Linked DNA regions of Stegostoma tigrinum. The protein of the gene in region 3 binds, or shares a complex with, the protein of the main gene of each other region. Links are inferred from orthologs where the notes say so. Each region holds a gene or a part of one and is shown on either strand. Other genes may lie near its edges.

Region 1 (8,003 bases), on a different chromosome or scaffold from region 3:
TGAACAAATTTCTTCACATGGCAACATCGACAAAAATAAAAAAAGGTAAATAATAACGGACCTTTACAAAGCCTTTCAAACACAAAATTGTGTATGGTTCATTTAATGGCAAAATGGTACGTTATATAAAAGACTGCGTTTTTTAAATGAAGATTTCCTTCTATCCAGCAACCAGATCACGGTTGTTACGACAATCGCTGACAGTGACACCCCGAAATGTGAATGGTATTTATTTTTATCCTGCTGTACAGGTATGCTGTATGCTGTCAGTCCATCTAATAAGGCTGCGGGAGGAGTGTGCAGGTCTGCTGGGTCCAAATGCTGATCTAAGTTCAATTTAAAGTATACAGAGATTCGCCTCGTTAGAAAGTCTGTCAGAGGGGACTTGCACTTATTGCCCAACAGATTTCCTCTGAACAGCAACTGCTCCCACGTCTCCTGCCCGTCTGTCATGAGCTACTTCAGGGAAACAATCCGTGTTGATAGCAGACTTCAGTAATCCTATCCACCTTGCCTCCTTCCACCCTTCCCCCCAACCCTCTAGCACCATTTACCCACCATTTACCTTTAATTAGCTACCAGGGAACTGCACTGACATTAAAACCTTGTAAAAATGAATCGCGGTAACCGCCCCAGGTCACTTTTCAATTTCCTTTTCTAGGAATACATTATGAAAAATGGCAGTTTTAAATCAAATTATTTTGTTTTCGTTCCTTTCCTTTCACAGGCCAAATTAGGTGCATGAATTATGATTTCAAGCGAGAGATGCTGGATCCAGGCACATAAAATCGAGATATATTTGAACGGTTCGTAAAACTGGGAGTGGTATTACTCAAGGGTCCGGGCTTTAATGGTTGGATATCATACGTAGTATGAGCAGTGGGTTTGCTCCCAGCAAGAGCGACTTGTGTTTAGGTAGGAGTGCGATCGGGACCCCATTATACTCCAGATGACAGAACAAATAGGAGCAGGAGTCGGCCATTCAGTCCCTCAAGCCTGTCCCCTCCATTATATAAAATGTCTGTCCCAGTTGTCAACTCCACTTTCGTGTCAGATTGTCATTGCCCTCAAATCCTCGACTTATTTCTTTTTTTTAATATATCTATCTAACCCCTCTTTATACCGATAAAGTTTCGGTTTGTTTTTCCTACGAACGTTCCTCTCCAACATTTATAGGGATCTCGGAGAGAATGGCCACCATGAAACGTGACTTCAGTCCGTAATGCTGCTACCCAGATTGTGAAGAATATCCTGGGAGAGAAGTTGAACTTGACAGCGAGTTCCACCATTTGTTTCGAAAGCCGATGGGGCTGCGTACCAGTAAAAGATATGCCTTCGGTCACCTGTCGTTCCTTTTTACCTCCCAGAAATCTCCATCGCACTTCCCCCGGCCGCTGGGCCCATCTCCACTTCCCAGCAGCTTCCTGAGCGGTGTAAAAGCTGAGCTCCTAAGGGAAGCGGCGTTCCCCCTGACTGATTTCAGTTCACAGTACTATTCCGCCCAGTTTTCACCAGGTTATGTTCTTGGGATAACTCATTTCACAATGGACCACCTATAAAAGTCCATACCACAAACTGAACCAGCAGCCAGAGTATTTACTTTTAACATAAATGAACTGCCGAACTGCCGTTCAATTTTATCCACAAGCTTTCGGCTTCAATACTGCATGACAGTACAGTCAGCAGAAGAGGACACTCGGTGAAATATAAATGGGCAGTAACCCATTGTAAATCACAGATCATTACAAAGTTTGCACTGAAATTCACAGTTGTCCAACTATTAACTAATCTTTGTATTTCACCGAACGGAGAATTCAAAGCGAATCCCAAGCCATCACAAAGACACACCAGATTCCTGTCATTTGTTAGATCCTGAGAATCTGAGCCGAGGGTTTCAGTGGTGCAGTTAGTGTCCCTACCTCTGAACCAGGAGGCCTGGGTTCAAGTCCCACCTACTGCAAAAATATATCTAAGTGATAGCATCTCTTGAATGGGTTGTTTAAATTTTTTTGTAATCTCACCCTCGGGCTCTTGTACTAGATAGCGTCCCTACCTCTGGGCTAGGAGGCGCGGGTTTAATTACCACCTGCTCCAGCGCTGTGTAACAGGATAATTAGAAAAGTCTAACCCTGAGCCTGCAGTGGGCTGTTAATTGGAACTAACCAGGGCACTACAAATGATTTGAAGCTCGACGTCTAAAGCTGCTTCATACAACGAGAAGGTTGAGTCTGCTTGGCTACTATCTGTTAGGGCTAACGTACCATTTATTTTTGTTCAATGAGATTTATCAAGTTATAGGTCGGACCCCCTGGTTCTGAATACAGTGGACGCCTCACATAGTCATTTTTATAATCTCAAAAAAGCATTCCCTGTGCCTTAGACTCAGTTATGTTTCTAACGAAATGTAATAGCACATGGAGTTAAATTCCGATAGAATACGTAATAATTGCACAATATTTTCTATAATTAGAAAACTACCTCAAATTTGCATTATAAAGTGCTTGCATTTTCTACAACGATTCAAGTTGAATTGTGCTCTGAATTCTTCAATTTGAATTTCTTGACATTCAATCCTACACACTACTTTGCCAGGTTAGTCTGCAAAACGCCCTCTCACCCGTTGCATTAGGAAATCCCGTCCACAGCCATACCAACAGCGCGAAAACCCACTTCTTCCACATGTCACAGTGGGAATGCCGGAATCCCAATGAACGTGGTCTCCCGTTGCTGTGCCAATCTGCTTCCTTTGTCAATATTCGCTGCTTCTCACAGCCTTATGTTCTTGCAGTCGATCGGACGGCGGAACATGTTAAAGTCACCTTTCAATGACTGAGGGTTAATAGGAATTCTGCAAAAGCCACTCGTGATAATCCAGGAGCTTTTCCTCTGATTTAGTCCGCCCTGAAAAGGAAGCTGCTGTAATTTTGAGGTCAGTTCAATGTGTGTCAAGTGGACATGGCAATTTGTGGATTATATACGGGAGGAGGTGCCGAACCATGAAAGTTGATCCATTCGTCACGTGACGTGACGGCGCTGTTGATCCTTAAACATCCCGAACAACCGGGAAAGTTATCACAAAATTGCAGTTCCTTGCGGGTGAAAACATGTTAGCACATATTGTTGAAAAAAATTGATTAGAACAATTCTACAACACGAACCTATAATTTTCTACATGTCGCAAGCATATACCACCACGCCTCATTAATAGTGTTTGGAAGCGAAAATAAATTTTATGGATTCCATTAAATTTTGCAAAGCCAGGAAGGGCAACGTGAAATATGCAGCTGAGCCTATGTGTATATTTGTTGTCGTCTCTAAATGGCGTTTACAGTTTTTCTTTTATTCATTCACGGAATAAGGATGTCGCCGGGCAGGCAGCATTTTATTGCCCAGAGGGCAGTTAAGAATCAACCACATTGCTGTGGGTCTGGAGCCACAGGTAGGCCAGCAATTTCCTTCACGAAAGGGCGTTAGTGAACCAAATGGGTTTTCCCCCGACAATAGGCAACGGATTCATAGTCATCATTGGATTCTTCATTTCCAGGTATTTAGTGAATTCAAATTGCATCAGCTGCCCTGGCGGGATTCGAAAGAAGATCCTCAAGACATCAGCTGGGTCTCCGGGTTAACAGTCCAGTGATAACACCACTAGGCCATTGCCTCCTCTTTTCGTCGGGAGTCGAACAGTGAGATGGTTAAATAGTATTTAGCACTTCTTGGCACAAAAAATAACCATTTACTGCCCAGTCATTTACTTTTCTAATTGAACGTATAAGCAGTTCTGAAGAAGGGTCACTGGACCTGAAACTACTTTCTCTTCAGAGATGCTGCCAGATCTGCTGAGTGTATCCAACAATTGCTCTTTGTGTTTCTCATTTCTAGCATCTGCAGTTCTTTCGAGATTTTGTTTTGACAACGGCAGTGCTGGGGTGGAAGTTGTTTGAATTTGAGCGTAGAGTTAGCTCTGAACTTTTCTCGAGGTATTTAGATGTGCCGAAGTGATGCCAAGGCTTTCAAGACAACGGGCCCAGTGCTGGAAAATGAGATTAGAATAATTCAGTGAGTGCTATTGACAGGTGCAGGCTGGGTAGGCCTTAGGCCTATTTTCTGTATTGCAGATCACATGCTACATCTGCTAATGAATTACGAAATCTTGGATTTAGCTGCATCAATTCGAAGTACTACCTTTTCCAGAGACACTTGAATATCAGGAGCATAAAATACATGAGATTCGACTTCACGTAATTTATTTTCAATACGTCAGTTATCTCCAGACAGCAGCTTTTTTTAAATTTAATTCCAAACAATAGCAATGTTTTACTTTAAATGCGAAAAGATTTATACATGCCCGTGACTCAGCCTTGCTTTCCCATCATACTTTACAAAAACGTTGTCATGTTGGTGAGTTCACTTTCCTGCTGCCCTTCCTTTATGAATTATTGCATCTACGCCCGCTACAATTCATTATAATTGTGCGTTTGCCAGCAAGGACACTCTTAAGATCGTGTCTTTGCTCCCGATCCTCTGACCCGTGAGTCAAACGCGATGACTGCAATAAATCTACAGAGAGCAGAGCAAGGATATCATTTCAGATGCACCTCATAGAACAAAACTATCGGTCATTTGGCAGAGTGGGCAGTGACTGGGTCTCATGAGCTGTAGTTTGTGAGACAAACAGAGAAAGGAGATGTGTGGCTGGGAAAGGCTGCAATGTTGGAGAAGTGCAGAAGTAGCGCGATGCCCATGTCAGTATTGATTTCCGGTGTTTTAGCAGGATGTCTTCAACTTTACCGCTATCTACACACCTCACAGCACCCCCTCATTGCATTGACGAGCAGTGGACACAAAAACCTGATTAGAAAAAGAGCAATCATTCGAGCTGCCACAGCAGTCTCGGCTAGAGATGTGGCTGACACCTGCAAGTCCCTACAGCACCAGGCTCTCGATCTGAGTCATGCTAGTGAGAGGAAACGCTGAGTTTGTTCTCCTTGGTATACACAACCTGTCTGGATGCAGGATTGTTTTATACATGTACTGTTTTGTACAAATACATTTCTGCTTTGCACGGCAATGCAAACAGATGACTCAAACCTCATTCAACACCCGTGGTAGCAAACAAATCTGTTACCTTACATTCGCAAGTCAGTTGTTTGCCTATAGTGCACGTGGGATATCAAGAACTACACTCTATACTGTGTAAGAATTCCTAATATCGAGGCTGCTTTGAGACTTTGAAGAAGAGCATATGTTCCATTCAAATCGACAGGAGGGATTGCTGTTGTATCTCTATACAGAACAATGTGAAGCTAACAGGAGTACAGTATGCCGCTTCTGAGACAGTCAGACTAGAGTTGTCGTGTTTATGTCAATGAGAGGGTAGTCACCGCCTTCAGTTGTACACAGAATGATGCAGGAATTTATCACCGGCATGAGTCACCAAATTCAGGAGGGGAAAGAAAATCAAGAAGAAAAGCGGAGATCTACAGAACAATTAAAAGAAGCTGCATACAACTTCCGAAGAAAGTAAAAGTTTTCAATTGTTATCGCCATTCAGGGTTAAACTTTCAGGCCGATGAGCTTTAGCCCAGAATTTCGCGACCTGGAATGTAAATAGTTTCCCCTTTTCTAGATGTTGCCCGGCCTCGCTGAGTATATGAAGAAATTTCTATTCGTGTTTTGGCTTCCAGCTTCCGCAATATTTTGCGTTTACAGTGAATTCAAACCTAGTTACAGACAATACAGCGCGGAGTTGTCTCTGACTCCAGCACCTGCAGTTCTTGCTACTCCTTCCTAGTTACATTGGGATGGTCAGAGTGCGAGCAGCTAGCTCAGAGGTCAGCAGCGGATAGGCCCGGAACCCGAGATAATAAAGTGTGAAGCTGGATGAACACAGCAGGCCAAGCAGCATCTCAGGAGCACAAAAGCTGACGTTTCGGCCCTAGATCCTTCATCAGAGAGGCCATGCTATTCTTTCGGTTGAGCAGTTTGCACGCTCCTCATGAGTGTGCAAAGGGTGGGATGATCGTGGCAGCGGAGTTTTATTTGAATTTTCAAGACCTTCAGGCAATAAACTTTACTCGTCAGCTTGCAAGTGCAGAGGTGGCTGGATTGAGGCAAGAACTGGACTTTGCTTATCTCTCTCTAACACTCAAACGGAAGCTGCTCCAAGTTGATGTGGTCAAACACTAAAATATGACCCTAATTAAGACCCACTCCGTCCTTATCGAGTTCCCAGAAGCTAGTCATTCAAGGCAACACAATTCCAAACACACTACAAACGGTACACACGCTGTTTAGTTTCCATCATGTGTCTTAGTGATGTAAATAGTTTACATGATTTGCCCAATTTTTATAAATCTATCAACTCTCCAAGTGTGGAAAACCACAGAAAACAATCCCACAGACTCCCTCACAGATTTGTTTTTCAATCATAAGCTGCTGCGCTGCTGACTATATATTATGACTTTATTTGTCAAGAACAGCAATCTTTAGAACGAACAGGAGGAGATTGACTCTATGACTGTCTTAGGGTCATATGTTCCGCCGAGGTTTACACAAGACCCAACTGTTTCACATTAAATCAAGCAAGCTATTATAACACATCGGAAAAAGCTGCCTTCACTTAAGTGCTTTTTTTTCCACAATGGGAGAGACTTCCTGTTCGAACGAATGTTTTGTTCGTCTTGCAGATGATCCCCCGCAGTCACGCCCGACCAGTTTCTGTCACGATTTCCAGTTGAGTAAAGAACTTGTTGAATTTCTGGTTCTCTGTTAGATAAGCACGAGGCGCGGCGCATATCGTTTGTGTGCTCCATTCCTTCTTGCCTGGCTCTTATCAACATGAAAAAACAAACTTTTAGGTCACGTGAAAACTGTGATGGCAGTATTGGAAGAGTTGCATGCCGAATATAGTCCAGGAGTTAATTCCCCTGATTGTGAGCAGTACCCGCTCCGACAGACTCCATGCGATTTTCTGCCTGGTCATTTTAAATATTTGGAAAATTATGTATAACGTGGCTCTGGAAATGCCGGTGCAAATTCCAGCGCGACACACGCTCTATTGTTTGCAACTGGTTAAACTACAGTTTCCCCAGAATCAAACTTTGTGTTAATCTTCACAAGGAGGGTAGGAAAGCTGGTAGGAGATAATGGGAACTGCAGATGCTGGAGAATCCGAGATAACAAAGTGTGGAGCTGGATGAACACAGCAGGCCAAGCAGCATCTTCGGAGCACAAAAGCTGGCGTTTTGGGTCTAGACCCCTGGCCCTTCGGCCTTGGACGTTGTGAAACCAAACTGAAGCCCATCTAACCTACATTATTCCATTATCATCCATATGTTTATCCAAGGACCGGGTGGGGAGAGGATTCTGAAATAAATAGGGAGAGAGGGGGAGGCCGACTGAAGATAGGTAGAGGAGAAGATAGGCGGAGAGGAAAGCATTGGTGAGGAGGTAGGGAGGGGATAGGTCAGTCTGGGGAGGATGGACAGGTCAAGGGGGCAGGATGAGGTTAGTAGGTAGGAAATGGAGGTGCGGCTTGAGGTGGGAGGAAGGGATAGGCGAGAGGAAGAACAGGTTAGGGAGACGGGGATTTCCTACCTACTAATCTCATCTCGCCCCCTTGACCTGTCCGTCCTCCCCGGACTGACCTATCTCCTCCCTACATCCCCACCTATGCTCTCCTCTCCACCTATCTTCTCCTCTATCCATCTTCGGTCTGCCTCCCCCTCTCTCCCTATTTATTTCAGAATCCTCTCTCCATCCCCCTTTTTTGATGAAACGTCAGCTTTTGTGCTTCTAAGATGCTGCTTGGCCTGCTGTGTCATCCAGCTCCATGCTTTGTTATCTCAGAAAGCTGGTAAAATGGCCTGGATAGTGGCAGATGAGGTCCAGTGCAGAGATGTTTAAGGCGATTCATTTTGTTGACAATATCATTTGCTAGACAATCAAAACTGAAGGGTTTCAGATCCCCACCATCTGCAGTTTTTTAAGAAAATATTTTA
Region 2 (7,706 bases), on a different chromosome or scaffold from region 3:
CTCCTCTGACGCTGCTTAGTCTGTTCCATTCATCCAACTCTACACCTTGTTATCTCAGATTGTCCAGCATCTGCAGTTCCTCCTATCTCTGAGGTCAAAACAAGATCCTTTTGAATGGTGGAGCAGGCCTGAGTGGCCCACCTGTGATTCTAATGCGAATGTTTGATAGCATTTGAGAAATTGCGGGGGGAGTTCTGATGATTGCATTGGAACATGCTGTGTTAAATGGGATGAATTTAGAACAGATCTAGCAACTCAGTGCTGGCCATCCATGAGGTACTCCAGGCCATTAACAGCAGCAGAATTCTACTCAACCATAATCTGCAACTGTCTACCCACTTCCACCATTTCCATCAGGGCAGGAGATCAACCCTGGTTCAGTGAATTGGTGCAAGAGGTCATACCAGGAGCGTCACCAGGTTTATTTAAAAATGGGCAGTCAATACAGCAGCACTTGCACGCTAAATAGGAGAAGAGCAACTGATAGGCAAGACTAAATAAAAGCCAAAAGAACTGCGGACGCTGTAAATCAGGAACTAAAACAAAGTTGCTTGAAAAGCTCAGCAGGTCGGGCATCTGTGGAGGAGAAAACAGAGTTAATGTTTCAGGTCACTGGACTCGAAACGTTAACTCTGTCATTTTTCCTTCACAGGTGACAGACAAGACTAAGTGTTTCCACAACCAAAGGTTCAGATCATATATCTGCTGTCCTGCCACATCCAGTCCTGAATGGTGGTGGACTGTTAAACAATTGACAGAATGAGCTGTCTCCAGAAATATTGCTATTCCCAAAAATAGGCAGCCCAGTGCATCGCTGCAAAAGACAAAAACAGAAATTGCTGGAGAAACTCCGCAGGTCAGGCAGCATCTGTGGGAAGAAAGCAGACTCAACGTTTTGGGTCAGTGACTCTTCACTTTGAACCTCCCTGCCTCAGAAGGTGGTGGATGCAGGGTCATTTTAAAGTCAGATTTTTGTTATGCAGGACAGCCCAGGGTTCCCAGGAGAGAAATCTGAACATGGAATCTGAAATGTAAACCAATTAGCCATGATCTATTTGGATGGCAGAGCAGATCAGAGGGGCTGAATGGTCCACTTCTACTCAAGTTTGGTATGTTCATATCTTTGTATATAGATATATCGGAACATCACCACTTGCAAGTTCCCTTCCAAGCCACTCACTCTCCTAATACGTCACTGTTCCTTCAATGTTCCTGGGTCAAGATTCTGGAATTCTCTCCCTAAAGACATTGTGGGTAAGCCCACAGCACATGCACTGCAGCGGTTTGAGAAGGCAGCTCACCCCCACCTTCTCAAGGGCAGCTAGGGACAGGCAATAAATGCTGGGCCCAGCCAGTGACACCCACATCCTGGGAATTATTGAAATAATATAGTATGCTCAAAATCAAAGGGAAGAGATGCAGATATCTGGAGCGCAATGGGAAGAGAGTCCTCACCGTGTGACTATACTAATCCCACAGTTTTAATTCAGAACAAAGCAAGCTCCAGGCTAATACAGAAAGCAGGTAATCTGAGCTCAGCTGGAACAGAATGATCCCAACTTCAAATGGCTCAACCTTCTCACTCTTTCCAAGGAACACTCAATAAGAGTTTGATGGTCTGAACCTTTACTGGAGAGGCCAGGGGGCTGGGGAGAGGAAAGTGGTTTAGGGAGGAGGGGGTGGACAAGGAGGGGGAGATCAGAGAAGTACGATGGTGTATTCATTGCCTAGTGATGTGGAATTGGAATTTCAATCCAGTTTCATTTCCAATCCCCAGCATATCTGGTTCATCAATATCTTGAAAACTTCGTCCAATTCACATGGAGTTCCCAGTATCCTTAGCTCATTACACTCACACCGTGTCGACTTGGAAAGCAAAAATCGTCAATTCACTCCAACTCAATATAACCCGATAGTGGTGATTGAAATATTGTTTTCATACAATTTAAATGACAGTCTTTGGAGATAATTTACGGAAGATGGTGACTGTTTAAGACCCTGTAATTGCTGGTGACCCGGGGTTATGTGCAGACGGGAGCAAAGCCCATCTTCAATGTTGGAACAGTTTACCTGCGAGCTAGGAGTTCCTGAGCTTTCCCATCAGTAAACTGCAGTCAAATATGGAAAGAACTTCAAACACGAGAGGACAAAACATACTGAAAAATGAACGCTTAGCTCAAGTTCCCCTGCTAGCAGACTTTTCAGGACAGGGAGCAGACTGGAGTTGATACAAAGCTGAAGCTTGCTCTCAATCAGTCCCAATCTCTTTTCGGTTTCACACGGTTTTCTTGGGCACAAACCCCCAGGTCTATTCTGTCCCGTGTCATCAGCTGCGAGTTACCCCGGTCTCTTTTATATGACGGAACAAATCAATGCAACAAAATAACGTGTCTCAAGACGAAGAAGGTTTCTTTGCAAATGGGGAAATCTACAATAAAACATCCCCAAGAGCAAGCTACAACATAGATTCCGTCCTACCTGCTACAGCGCAGCTAAACGCTAAACACAAGAGGCTCCACACTGATCCTTGCAGCATTTCGTAAATTCTGAGTTTGTGAACACTCCCCTATCAGCCTTCAGGTATTACTCAGAAGGACAGCCACAACTTTTCAAAGTCCAAATCTACAGAGGTTTCCCACACACAAAAAAAGAGCAATTTACAATCCAACTCGGAGGTGCAACTTCATTTCAAACATCTCCACAGTTCGCCTGCCTCAACAACACTCAAACAATCCGCAGCTCGAACCTTCAGCAAACACTGACTCCTACCTGATTTACACACGGCTACAAACCAAATCCAGACAGAAAAGGTAAAAGCTTTCTTCATTTCTAGATGTCCAATCCTGGAGTGTTTGAAGTCTCCGATCAAAGAAATGAAAAATATTAAATTCCTCTTCTCTGCCTCTCTCTCGCAGACACACGTGTAACTCAGAGCCCGTGGGTCAGGTACAAGCTGAGATTTAGTTCCGAGCAGCTCCGGGGACGAGCAGCCGTGGAAACCACAAGGAAATTGTTTGAAGGAAATGTGTGCAACGATTAACATCAAGTGAGATACGTTTCCTCTTTGCAACCCTTTCGCCACTTCCACCAACCCGCAGGAAAACAAAAGTATTTTTCTCTCTCCCTTCCTCCCCTCCCTCGTTTTAATCTGAACAGATTCTCCAGATTCCCTGATCTCCAACAAGAGTTGAACTTCTGCACAGTTTTTTTGGTGAAAATTTCCAGACGTCTAGCGCCTTCACCTATCGAGTACGATTCACAAATCGCAAACGTATTCATCTTTAAAATCCCTTTATATTTGAGACCGCATTAAGACAAAACAGTATTTAACCAGATTCGGGTAGGATTCTAATTATTTGTTATAATATATCCCTAACAACGAAGAATTTAAATTTAAATACACCAGCCTGCATAAACCGAGTTCTTCTTGTACTTCCAGGCTATTTTCCCCTTAAACTCCTTAGGTTTAAATTTAGACTAAATATTTCCTATGTAAACCTGTCATGCTGTAATTATGGCCTTCCACCACTGATGGCGCTGTAACCCTGATATTGTTGATCTTTATCTTCAGACCCCAAAGTTCACTGGCTGGAGTCACAGAGGCATACAACAGGGAAACAGACCCTCAGTCCGAATCGTGCATGCTGACAAGATATCCTAATCTCGTCCCATTTTCGAGCATTTGGCCCATATCCCTCTTAACCCTTCCTATTCGTGTACCTATCCAGATGCCTTTGAAATGTTGTAATTGTACCAGCCTCCACCACTTCCTCTGGCAGCTCTTTCCATACATGCATCATCCTCTGCGTGGAAAAGTTGCCCCTTAGGTCCATTTTTAATTCTTCCCCTCTCATCTTAAACCTATGCCCCTCTAGTTTTGGACTCTCCCACCCCAGGGAAAAAACCTTGTCTATTTACTCTATCCATGCCACTCATGGTTTTATAAACCTCTATAAGATCACCCATCAGCCTTCAACATTCCAGGGAAAAAAGCCCCAGCCTATTCAGCCTTTCCCTGTAGCTCAAACTCTCCAACCCTGGCAACACCCTTGTAAATCTTTTCTGCATTCTTTCAAGTTTAACAACGTCTTTGCTGTAATCGGGAGATCGGAGTTGAGTGCAGTATTCCAAAAGTGGCCTAACCAGTGTCCGGTACAGCTATAATGTAACATACCAATTCCTACACTCAGTGCACTGACCAACAAAGACTAGTGTACAGAAAAACCTTCTCTGCCCATCTTGTCTACCTGCGACTCTAACTTCAAGGAATTGTCAACCTACACCCCAAGGTCCCTTTGTTCAGTAATACTCCCCAGCTCTCTACAATTAAGTGTACCAGTTCTTGTCTACTTCATTAGTTGCTAATATTTTTAATGTAAATAATATAAAATCAATTATATACTAAAAAGTGAATTTATGACTTTAAAATAGGGATTGAATTATAACGAAACATCCTGGACCTTATCTCCTGCCTGTTATCCCCACTTCACCAATAAGTAGTAGTAGAAATATTAAAACTAATGATATGCATTGTAATGGAAATATGTTATTCAAAATATTAATTTATAATATAATTGACCGGGCATGGTCACTTGGTCAGAAGAAGCTGCAAGGTTAGCATGAAGGAGATTTCACCTGAGCGAGACAGAGACAGAAGTGAGTATCTGGGAATTTGGGTACAAGTTGGAATTCAGGGCAGACCGGAGTGGGGGGGATGCGGGAAAGAGGGGAAGGAGACGTGTTTGAATTAAGGTTTACTGTAAGGAATAAAGTCTTCAGAGAAAGGGATGACCGAGAAAGGAAATAAGGTGGAGATCAAGGGGCTTATGTGTACTTAAACCAACAGCAGTGTGACATCCTGAAGCCGGGAAAGCAGCTGATTTTTAGTTTTTCTCATCTTTAAAGTGAAAGTTGGTTATTTAGTTTAAATCCTGAGTGTTTTACCCTTCTTTTCCTGAACAATAGCTTCTTATGTTTTCAGAGGCTAGTACTGATTCTAACGATAACAGAGGTTTTCAGAGTTATGGGATGGCAACTCGGCACAACATTGAGGGCTGAAGGGCCTGTTCTGCGCTGTATTGTTCTATGTTCTAAGTCAGATGGGACAGGCAGATTGGAGATCCTGCAGTATGTGTGAAGTCAGGGACATACCATGCTTCCCAGATGATCCCAGAAAGTGTCTTCAGCTGCACATGCTTGAGGTCCCGCTTTTGGAATTCTAGCAGTATCTTGGGTCACTGCTGTACATCCATGCAGCAAAGGACAACATGCGTAGCACATATGGGGAGGTAGTCACAGATTAGAGCTTTTACAAGAAAGACGTTCAGATTGAATTCACATGACCCAGACTGTGGCAGGGAAAGATATTAAAATTGAACACGGTCGGAGATAACATTCCTCAAAAGCAATATCCTTTGACCTGTGATAAGAGGAACTGCAGATGCTGGAGAATCCAAGATAACAAAGCGTGAAGCTGGATGAACACAGCAGGCCAAGCAGCATCTCAGGAGCACAAAAGCTGACGTTTCAGGCCTAGACCCTTCATCAGAGGGCTCTCTCAGCTTTTGTGCTCCTGAGATGCTGCTTGGCCTGCTGTGTTCATCCAGCTCCACACTTTGTTATCCTTTGACCTGTCTTGGTTTGAAGTCTCTCTCATTAAAGTTTGAGAGTTGAAAGTGCACTGGAAGACCATATCACAACAAGTGGACAGTTATAGAGTCAGAGAGACATACAGGATGGAAACAGACCCCTGTCCATGCCAACCAGATATCTTATATAAATCTTGTCCCACTTGCCAGCATTAGGCCAATATCCCTCTAAACTCTTCCTATTCATGTATCATCCAGGTGTCTTTTAAATGTTGCAATTGTACCAGCCTCCACCACTTCCTCTGGGAGCTCATTCCCAGCGTGTACCACCCTCTGCATTTTAATGTTGTCCCTTAGGTCCCTTTTGAATCTTTCCCTCTCATCTTAAACCTATGCTGTTTAGTTTTGGACTCCCTCACCCCAGAGAAAAGACCTTGTCTATTTTCCTGAACCATGCCCCTCATGATTTTGTAAATTTCTATAAGGTCACCGTTCAGCCAACATTCAGTCTTCTGCTGCCTCACCTGAGGCTATTGATGATACACATATCTGAGGCACCTAGCTGTCAGTTCCCTAGCTTCACACAGAGTTCTCGGGTAGACCTGATCAGGTCCTGGAGATTTATCCACTCTTATGCATTTTAAGACATCAAGCTCCTCCTCCTCTGTATTTTGGATATTTTTCAAGATGTTGCTATTTATTTCCCCATGTTCTCTGTCTTCCATATCCTTCTCCAGAGCAAACACTGATGCAAAATACTTGTTTGGTGTCTCCCCCATCTCCTATGGTTCCACAAATAAGTGGGCTTGCTGATTTTTAAGTTGCCCTATTCTGTCCTAGTTACCCTTTTGTCCCTAATATATTTGTGGTTTGGATTCTGCTTAACCCTATTTGCCAAAGCTAACATGTCCCCTTGCTGCCCTCTTGACTTCCCTCCTAAGTATATTCCTACTGCTTTTATATTCTTCTCAGGATTCACTTGATCTCTGCTATTTATACATGACATATGCTTCCTTCTTATTCTTGTCCAAAACCTCAATTTCTCACCCAGCATTCACCGCACCTACCAGTCTTGCCCTTCACCCTAACAGGAACATACTGTTTCTGGACTCTCGTTAACTTATTTTTGAAGGCTTCCCATTTTCCAGCCATTCTCATTATCTGCAAACATCCACACCACCCCCCCCATCAACTTTTGAAAGTTCTTGCCTCTTACTATCAAAATTGGCCCTCTACTGATATAGAACTTGAACTTTCAGATCTGGTCTACCCTTTTCCATCACTATTTTAAAACTAATAGAATTATGGTCACTAACCCAAAGTGCTCCCCCACTGACACCTCAGTTACCTGCCTTGCCTTATTTCCCAAGAGTGGGTCAAGTTTTGCACCTTCTCTGGTAGGTACATCCATATACTGAATCAGAAAATTTTCTTGTACACAATGAACAAATTCCTCTCCATCTAAGCTCTTAACACAATAGCAGTCCCAGCCTATCTTTGGAAAGTTAAAATCCCCCACCATATCCACTCTATTATTCTTTCAGATAACTGAGATCTTGACATCCTAGAATTCCTACAATGTGGAAGCAGGCCATTTGGCCCAACAAATCCACATCACCCCTCCGAAGAGCATTCAACCCAGACCCATCCCCTCTACATTTTCACTGTAACTCTACATTTCCCATAGCTAATCCACATAACTTACACACCCCTGGACATGATGGGCAATTCAGCATGGCCAATCCACCTAACCTGCACATGTTTGGACTGTGGGAGGAAACCAAAGCACCCAGCAGAATCCCATGCAGAAACGGGGAGAATATGCAAACTCCACACAGACAGTCACCTGAGGGTGGCATCAAACTCAGGTCTGGCATTGTGAGGTAGCAGTTTTAATCACTGAACCACCATGCCGCCCTTACAAAAACTTTTACAAAATTGCTTCTCAATTTCCTGCTGACCACTGGGAGGGTCTGTAGTACAATCCTAACAAGGTGATCATCCCTTTCTTATTTCTCAGTTCTAACCAAGTAACTTCCCTGGATGTATTCCCAGGAATATCCTCCCTAAGTACAGCCGGAATGTTATCCCTAATCAAACATGCCACTCCTCCTCCTC
Region 3 (7,603 bases):
AATGGAGAAAGGGATCACTTCCTTCATGTGAAAGTGTACCATCCCAGATAACAACATTCTCTTGCCAATGAAAGTCCCCCACCAATTTACAAAAAAGCCTTATACTTAAGCGAATTTGACAAGTCTGGTAGTGCTGTATGCATCTCTACCTTTGAGTGGGCACTTCAACCTTTGCATTATTTTCTGTTTTTTTTCTCTCTCTGCCACTTTTTAATTGCTTGTCTCTACGTATGTCACTGAAATGTATTTGTTGGTCACTGACTTTCTATACCTGAGCGTGTGTCTCAGATTCTGCATTGTGCATTTGTGTGAGACAGTGAGGAAAAGAGAACAAAAACAGAAGTTGCTGGAAAAGCTCAGCAGGTCTGGCAGCATGTGAAGAATTGCTGCCAGACCTACTGAGCTTTTCCAGCAACTTCTGTTTTTGTTCCTGATGTACAGCATCCACAATTGTTTCAGTTTTTATTGAGTGAGGAAAAGAGATCCGCCTAGGCGTGAGAATTCCCTGTGCGGGATCTCCATTTGTCTTTGTGTGCATCTGGGCGCTATTCTCACTCTTAAATGCTGGCTGCTGAATTTGTATATATGATTTCCCTCCTCTTGTCCTTTCCTTTTATTTTGCCCTCCCCCTCCCTCTCTTCCTGTGAAGCCCTGTCAGTGCAACCGTTCTCTCGCTGTATTCATTCTTGCTTTCTTTATGTATTAATGCAGATTCTCTTTCTTAACTTGTGTCCAGTTCTGTTCCTTCTCCCTCCCTCCTGCACCCCTTATCCGTATCAGTTACCATCATCTTCTATGAATCTGTTCTTCATATAGCCAGTCCACACTCCCTCCTCCTCTATCATTTTAAATTATTGACACCTATACACCTTCAACAGGAATTGTCAAATTTCCACGGACTGTCTCCAACTCACAAGATTATCCCTGTTACTCTCTCTCTCTTCAGAACATCAGTGGGTGGAATTCGTTTCTACAAATCGCTGGAGAGAGGCTGGGTTCCTCGTTGTGTTACATTTCTCAACCCGTTTTTCCTTACTGCTTCTGACCCACCGACACACACACACACAATTACTGCTTTCTCGTTTTAACAAAATGTTTCTCAAAGTCTAAAGAAGGAGCCTTTGATTTATAAATCCCCGTGCCTCAAATTTGTATCTCCCACTCTTGAAAGTCTATCTTGTGGCAAACCTGGGACTTTGTGAGAGAAAGTTGACGGGCATACCATGTTAATTCAGTCGAAATGAAGGAGAGAGAGGTTCTCCGTGCATTTTGAATATGCCACTTCCTAAATTTCTCAGCGAGCTTCATTCTAATGTAGAGAGCCATAGGATCCACGCCCCCGTCTGTTAGCAGACTGGGATTTTTTTTCCCCCTCTCTTCTAAACTGAAACCTTTGGCCCGTCTGTGCGGGGAGGTAGGTGTTCCTGACCTACAAGGAGCTGGTGGAAGGTCGCAGCGAAACTCCGCCAGAGTTCAGTTAACACCCAGAGCAAATCTTCCAGGGACCCTATCTCCTGTGAGCAGTTCACCACTCTGTTGTGTCCTTACCTCAGAGGGAGACAAATTCCCAGATACTACAAATGCCAACTATTTCATATAAATATGTATACGGAATGTAATCCAAAGTAGTGTGCCGAAAGTGTATATGGCTCGGAAAATATGCATTAAAATTATTTACATGCATTGAAAATTCACGTGATGTATTAAAAAATGCAAAATATGTATTAATGGTGCAGAATATATAGTTACACAAACGTTCGATTTTACTGAAATGCGCATAAAAAGTATATTGGAAAACTTTTGTTATTACAAAGTTACAAAGTACAATAAAAGTTACATCTATGTTAAAAAGTTGCATAAGTGTCAGATTATGACTGGAGATTGCATTACATGTATCAAAAATCCACAGATGTTAGAAAAAGCTCGGCAATCTGCACCCTTCTCGCCCACAGATTCGCTGCCGCTTGTGCCGTCCAGGTCCTAGTAATAAATTCCTGTAGCGCCAGTGAGAAAGTGAAGGTGATTCCTCGTTGAACAGTGGTACAGTAGCCAGACAGCAACAACAGACTAAGACAGCCGAGGGGGTAGGAGAGTACACTTCTATGATTTAAAAAAAATACCTCCCTTACCTTCGGTTCTCCCAGCTCCTGATAGTCATCGTAATAGTCTTGGCTAGATTCATAAGCGGAGTCCCTTTGCAGCAAGGCCGTGTAAATCAGAAAGAGAGCGATCTCTGAAACCAGCAGCATCTTTGTGCCGGGATACAACAGAAAGCGAAGGCGGCCGGTGCAATATTAAAAAAAAATAATCCTCGGATCTTTTGCCTTTTCCTTTAGGGATCAAGGTGGAAGGGAAAGGAGAGGGCGGGAGAATGGGGATGTGCGGGGCGGTGATATTAAACAACAACAAAAAGAGGGACTCAAAGGATTTAAAATGGCACGAAACGTGATATTCTGTTGGACGGTGGCGCTTTCTGGATCGTTAACTTCAGCGGAATAAGTGACACTTCTTTTGTAAAGGAGGGGAAGTAAAGTTTATCCACGTGTTGTCTGAATAAGCGGAGCTTTCACTCTGACGATCCGGTGAAAGAATCCTTCTGGCTGGTGGATGAGAGACAGCCAAGGAGGGAGGTATGGCATGTTTAATATGCAGACAGCTCCGAGTTCCCCTCAAAGCTTTCAGTGCAGCTTCTCTCCCCACACAGACCGAGTTTCGATGTGATCCCTTGCCTGCACTATTTATATAAGGAGTTTGGCAAGGAACACCAGAGAGAGGGGGTGGTGAGGGGTGAGACACGTGCACATTTTAAGCTCTACACAACCAGGAAACGGGTCTGACAATCCCCACGTGGCTACAAAAATAATATAAAATGTACAAGCCAGGCTCTGCCTTGTATCTCCTTCCAGTCTGACAGCTGTCTCTCTCTCCAGCTTTCGCTGTGGCTACATTAGCCGCGTACTGTATGCAGGCTGGCCGCTTTCGGAGCCTTTTCTCCCCCTTTCACAGGTCTCCAGTGTTAAATACGCTGGCAATGTCCCCCTCCCGGGGAGGGAGGCGGGTCCGGTGTCCAGCTCTGTCCGAAACAGGTTTCTTTCAATAACATGGAGGACCTGCATTTGTATAGTGCCCTTCCACCCCCCGCAGACAAAATGCTTTTTCACAGGCACCGGAGACTTCCTGGAAGTGCTGCAATGTGGAAAGAGGGCAACGGTGTTCGGTGATGAGAGGGTGGGGGTTGATGTCATTTGTGCACAGCAAGATCCCAGCAGAAACAATGAAATAAAGATCAGGTCAGCGCTCAGTAGTTGCATGATGTAACTGCCCTTCCCTCGATTGTGTTCTGGGATGCTTTACGACTGTTTGAAGGAGTGGACTTCGATTCAATATTTGGACTGGGGAGGGTATCTCTGACAGTGAAGGACGCCGTCAGTGAAGTGGGGAAGCAACAGCTTGCAGGCCCATCCTCCAGCTTGCAACACAGGGCGAGAAAATACCATTACAAACAGTTAGTAAGAGTAAGCTAATTGAGCCATTCTTTTTACTAAATGATTAGTTTGGATATGGGTATTGCTGGAAGAGAACGAGATTTATTGTCCAACCCCCCCCCGTCCGACAAGCTGACTGTGATCCATGGGGCTCTTGAGAAAGCAGGGAAGTTCATTGCACCAGTAAGACTGAAGGCACATAGGACAATACCTGGATAACCTGGCAGCTTTACATCTCTGAAGGACATCAGCTAGGTTGTTACAATAGTTGGAAAACTTCACTGGGCACTTTCGATAAAACCAACTTTTGATTTTCTTTTTTTTTAATTGTGGCTAGTTGTTGAAATCACAAACATTTCAATTAAAAAAATGACAGGCAATGAATGACTTACTGCCAAATACGATGGCTAGTAACACACCTCCTGATACCACAAAGCCTGTCCACCATCTACAGGGCACAAGTCAGGAGTGTGATGGAATACCCCCCAACTTGCCTGGATGAGTGCAGCCCCAACCACACTCAAGAAGCTTGTCACCATCCAGGATAAAGCAACCCCCTTAATTAGCACTGCATCCATAAACATCCACTCCCTCCACCAACAACGCTCAGTAGCAACAGTGCATATAAGATGCTCTGCAGAAATTCACCAAAGATCCTCAGACAGCACCTTCCAAACTCACGGCCACTTCCACCTAGAAGGACAAGGGCAGCAGATAGATGTAAACAATGTCTGATCATGAAAACTCGGCTCTATTTTGATTAACCCCCTCAATACTCCCCCCACCACCACCCTGACACACACACACACACACACACACACACACATGTTTGCATGGCTCGACGCAGAGGAGTTGACCTACATTCTGAAGTCTGCACCTGCCATTAACACCTATTCATCACCTATAGCCCTCTACTACACATTTAGCAATGACTTTGACTTTTGTTGCCTCGCCATCAGTTGCAACCTGTTACATTCCTTTGTTAACAGCATAAAAGCCATCATTTTCTAACCACTTTCAATTCTGAAGAAATCATTTCAGACTCAAAATGTTAAATGTTTCTCTGCCCCACTTGTTGCCAGTCCTGCTGAGTTTCACCAGCATTTTCTGTTTTTTCACCACATCACTTTCAAGTTCCCCTCCAAGACACTCACCATCCTGACTTGGAAATATATTACTACTCCTTCCCTATTGCTGGGTTAAAATCTTGGATTTCCCTCACTAATGGCATTGTGGGCGACCCCACAGCAGGTGGACTGCAGGAGTTCAAAAAGGCAGCTCACCATCTCCTTCTCAAGGGCAATTAGGTACGGGCAATAAATGCTGGCCCAGCCAGCAACAGTCACATTCCACAAATTAACTAAAGGAATGCCTGATGCCTTTTTGGTAATATAATCCCCTTGATGAAGATGTCCCTTACAGAACAATGATAAGGTTCTGATTGTCATCACTTTCCACCCCACCAGCTTCTGCCTTTAAAGGTTCGTCTTCTGCTTTCTCTGCTCCTCCCCTGTCAGCATCCCACAGAGACCATTCCCTCTGTTACACTCTGGTCCACTCCTCCATCACTCCTAGCACCTCTTCACCCTTCCATGACATCATCCCCTCCTATCACAGAAGTTGTAACACCTGTCCATTCACCTCCTCACCATTCAAGCCCCCATACATATCTTCCAGGTGAGGTAGCATTTCACTTGAATTTTATTTGATCTAATCTATTCTATTGCTGCTCACAATGCTATCCCCTTTTCTTTGGCAAGGCCAGATGCAGATTTCTTTGGGGAATATTTTAATCTGTCCAGAGGAATGACCCACATCTAGTTGCTAGCTATTTCAAGATAGCATCATTTTCAGATGCTAACATTTCTGTCCTTGGCCTGTCACAGAATCTAACTAACCCAAAGAAACCTACAAGAACAACATCTGATTTTCTGCTGAGGAGCAACAATGTCTGATCATGAAAACTCGGCTCTATTTTGATTAACCACCCCCCCCCCCCCAATACTCCCCCCATCACCACCCCGACACACACACACACATGTTTGCATGGCTTGACTCAGAGGAGTTGACCTACATTCTGAAGTCCACACCTGCCATTAACACCTATTCAGCACCTATAGCCCTCTACTACACGTTTAGCAATGACTTTGACTTTTGTTGCCTCGCCATCAGTTGTAATCTGTTACATTCCTTTGTTAACAGCATAAAAGCCATCATTTTCTAACCACTTTCAATTCTGAAGAAATCATTTCAGACTCAAAATGTTAACTCTGTTTCTCTGCCCCACTTGTTGCCAGTCCTGCTGAGTTTCACCAACATTTTCTGTTTTTATGTCTGAATATGTGGCTGATTGTTGCAGGTTTTGGAATCATCTGGTGCAGAAAAAAGATATCTGTGAATTGAATTGGGATTAGCCTGAAATCTGTAAAATGGATGCACCTCTTTAGTATATTTCAGTTGTTACTCTAGAAAGTGAAAATAATCTGAATATGTCTGATTATTATGTTTCATTAATGCATTTCTGTGTTTGTTCATTAGGAAAATATTCATTAAATGTCTTAGATGCCTTAGATTAATTTTTCATAATTTTATTACTTATTATCGGGTGTTCTACTCTACCAATACTCATTGAATTAATATAGGGATAATGAGGCAAATCTTGCAACTTTGTCCTTGGACCACACCCTGGAGCAATTTGTCAAACTTTTGTCCTGGGCAGTGATTTATTGAGGTCTCTGTGTCTACAGGCTGTTTCCAGCAATGCAAAATGAGTTCAGTATCAACCAATATCCCCAGTATCCCCAGAGGAGCTCGAACAGTTCATCCACTTCACAAACACCTTCCACCCCAACCTTCAGTTCACCTGGGCCATCTCCAGCACATCCCTCACCTTCCTGGATCTCTCAGTCTCCATCTCAGGCAACCAGCTTGTAACTGATGTCCATTTCAAGCCCACCGACTCCCACAGCTACCCAGAATACACCTCCTCCCACCCACCCTCCTGCAAAAATTTCATCCCCTATTCCCAATTCCTCCGCCTCCGCCGCATCTGCTCCCACGACAAGACATTACACTCCCACACATCCCAGATGTCCAAATTCATCAAGGACCTCAACTTTCCCCCCACAGTGATCGAGAACGCCCTCGACCACGTCTCCCGTATTTCTCGCAACACGTCCCTCACACCCCGCACCCGCCACAACTGCCCAAAGAGGATCCCCCTCGTTCTCACACACCACCCCACCAACCTCCGGATACAACGCATCATCCTCCGACACTTCCGCCATCTACAATCCGACCCCACCACCCAAGACATTTTTACATCCCCACCCCTGTCTGCTTTCCGGAGAGACCACTCTCTCCGTGACTCCCTTGTTCGCTCCACACTGCCCTCCAACCCCACCACACCCGGCACCTTCCCCTGCAACCGCAGGAAATGCTACACTTGTCCCCACACCTCCCCCCTCATCCCTATCCCAGGCCCCAAGATGACATTCCACATTAAGCAGAGGTTCACCTGCACATCTGCCAATATGGTATACTGCATCCACTGTACCCGGTGTGGCTTCGTCTACATTGGGGAAACCAAGCGGAGGCTTGGAGACCGCTTTGCAGAACACCTCCGCTCAGTTCGCAACAAACTACTGCACCTCCCAGTCGCAAACCATTTCCACTCCCCTTCCCATTCTTTAGATGACATGTCCATTATGGGCCTCCTGCACTGCCACAATGATGCCACCCAAAGGTTGCAGGAACAGCAACTCATATTCCACCTGGGAACCCTGCAGCCTAATGGTATCAATGTGGACTTCACCAGTTTCAAAATCTCCCCTTCCCCAACTGCATCCCTAAACCAGCCCAGTTCGTCCCCTCCCCCCACTGCACCACACAACCAGCCCAGCTCTCCCACTCCACCCACTGCATCCCAAAACCAGTCCAACCTGTCTCCGCCTCCCTAACCTGTTCTTCCTCTCACCCATCCCTTCCTCCCACCCCAAGCCGCACCCCCATCTACCTACTAACCTCATCCCACCTTGACCTGTCCGTCTTCCCTGGACTGACCTATCCCCTCCCTACCTCCCCACCTACAGTCTCTCCACCTATCTTCTTTTCTCTCC

What was found.
Region 1: the proteins of vegfc (region 3) and kdr are in contact, whole or in part, in a crystal structure (PDB 2X1W), measured with the Homo sapiens proteins. The link is inferred for Stegostoma tigrinum from reciprocal best matches to the Homo sapiens genes VEGFC and KDR. Residues at the interface, in NP_005420.1 of Homo sapiens: Thr148, Asn149, Phe151, Lys153, Phe186, Ile188, Val190, Pro191, Leu192, Gln194, Pro196; in NP_002244.1 of Homo sapiens: Val135, Tyr137, Ile215, Val216, Val217, Val218, Asn253, Val254, Gly255, Ile256, Asp257, Phe258, Asn274, Arg275, Asp276, Phe288, Leu289, Ser310, Ser311, Gly312.
Region 2: the proteins of vegfc (region 3) and flt4 are in contact, whole or in part, in a crystal structure (PDB 4BSK), measured with the Homo sapiens proteins. The link is inferred for Stegostoma tigrinum from reciprocal best matches to the Homo sapiens genes VEGFC and FLT4. Residues at the interface, in NP_005420.1 of Homo sapiens: Leu119, Asp123, Trp126, Gln130, Asn167, Arg210; in NP_891555.2 of Homo sapiens: Gln172, His199, Asp200, Ala201, Leu202, Tyr203.

Annotation. Positions count from the first base shown.
Region 1 is NC_081354.1:108,373,750-108,381,752, forward strand, and holds the start of kdr (vascular endothelial growth factor receptor 2), read right to left. Parts: upstream 3,008-8,003; 5' UTR 2,682-3,007; coding exon 2,618-2,681; intron 1-2,617. UniProt on the Homo sapiens protein: Tyrosine-protein kinase that acts as a cell-surface receptor for VEGFA, VEGFC and VEGFD. Plays an essential role in the regulation of angiogenesis, vascular development, vascular permeability, and embryonic hematopoiesis.
Region 2 is NC_081366.1:12,011,620-12,019,325, forward strand, and holds the start of flt4 (vascular endothelial growth factor receptor 3), read right to left. Parts: upstream 3,008-7,706; 5' UTR 2,828-3,007; coding exon 2,770-2,827; intron 1-2,769. UniProt on the Homo sapiens protein: Tyrosine-protein kinase that acts as a cell-surface receptor for VEGFC and VEGFD, and plays an essential role in adult lymphangiogenesis and in the development of the vascular network and the cardiovascular system during embryonic development.
Region 3 is NC_081356.1:120,836,984-120,844,586, reverse strand, and holds the start of vegfc (vascular endothelial growth factor C), read right to left. Parts: upstream 3,007-7,603; 5' UTR 2,250-3,006; coding exon 2,130-2,249; intron 1-2,129. UniProt on the Homo sapiens protein: Growth factor active in angiogenesis, and endothelial cell growth, stimulating their proliferation and migration and also has effects on the permeability of blood vessels.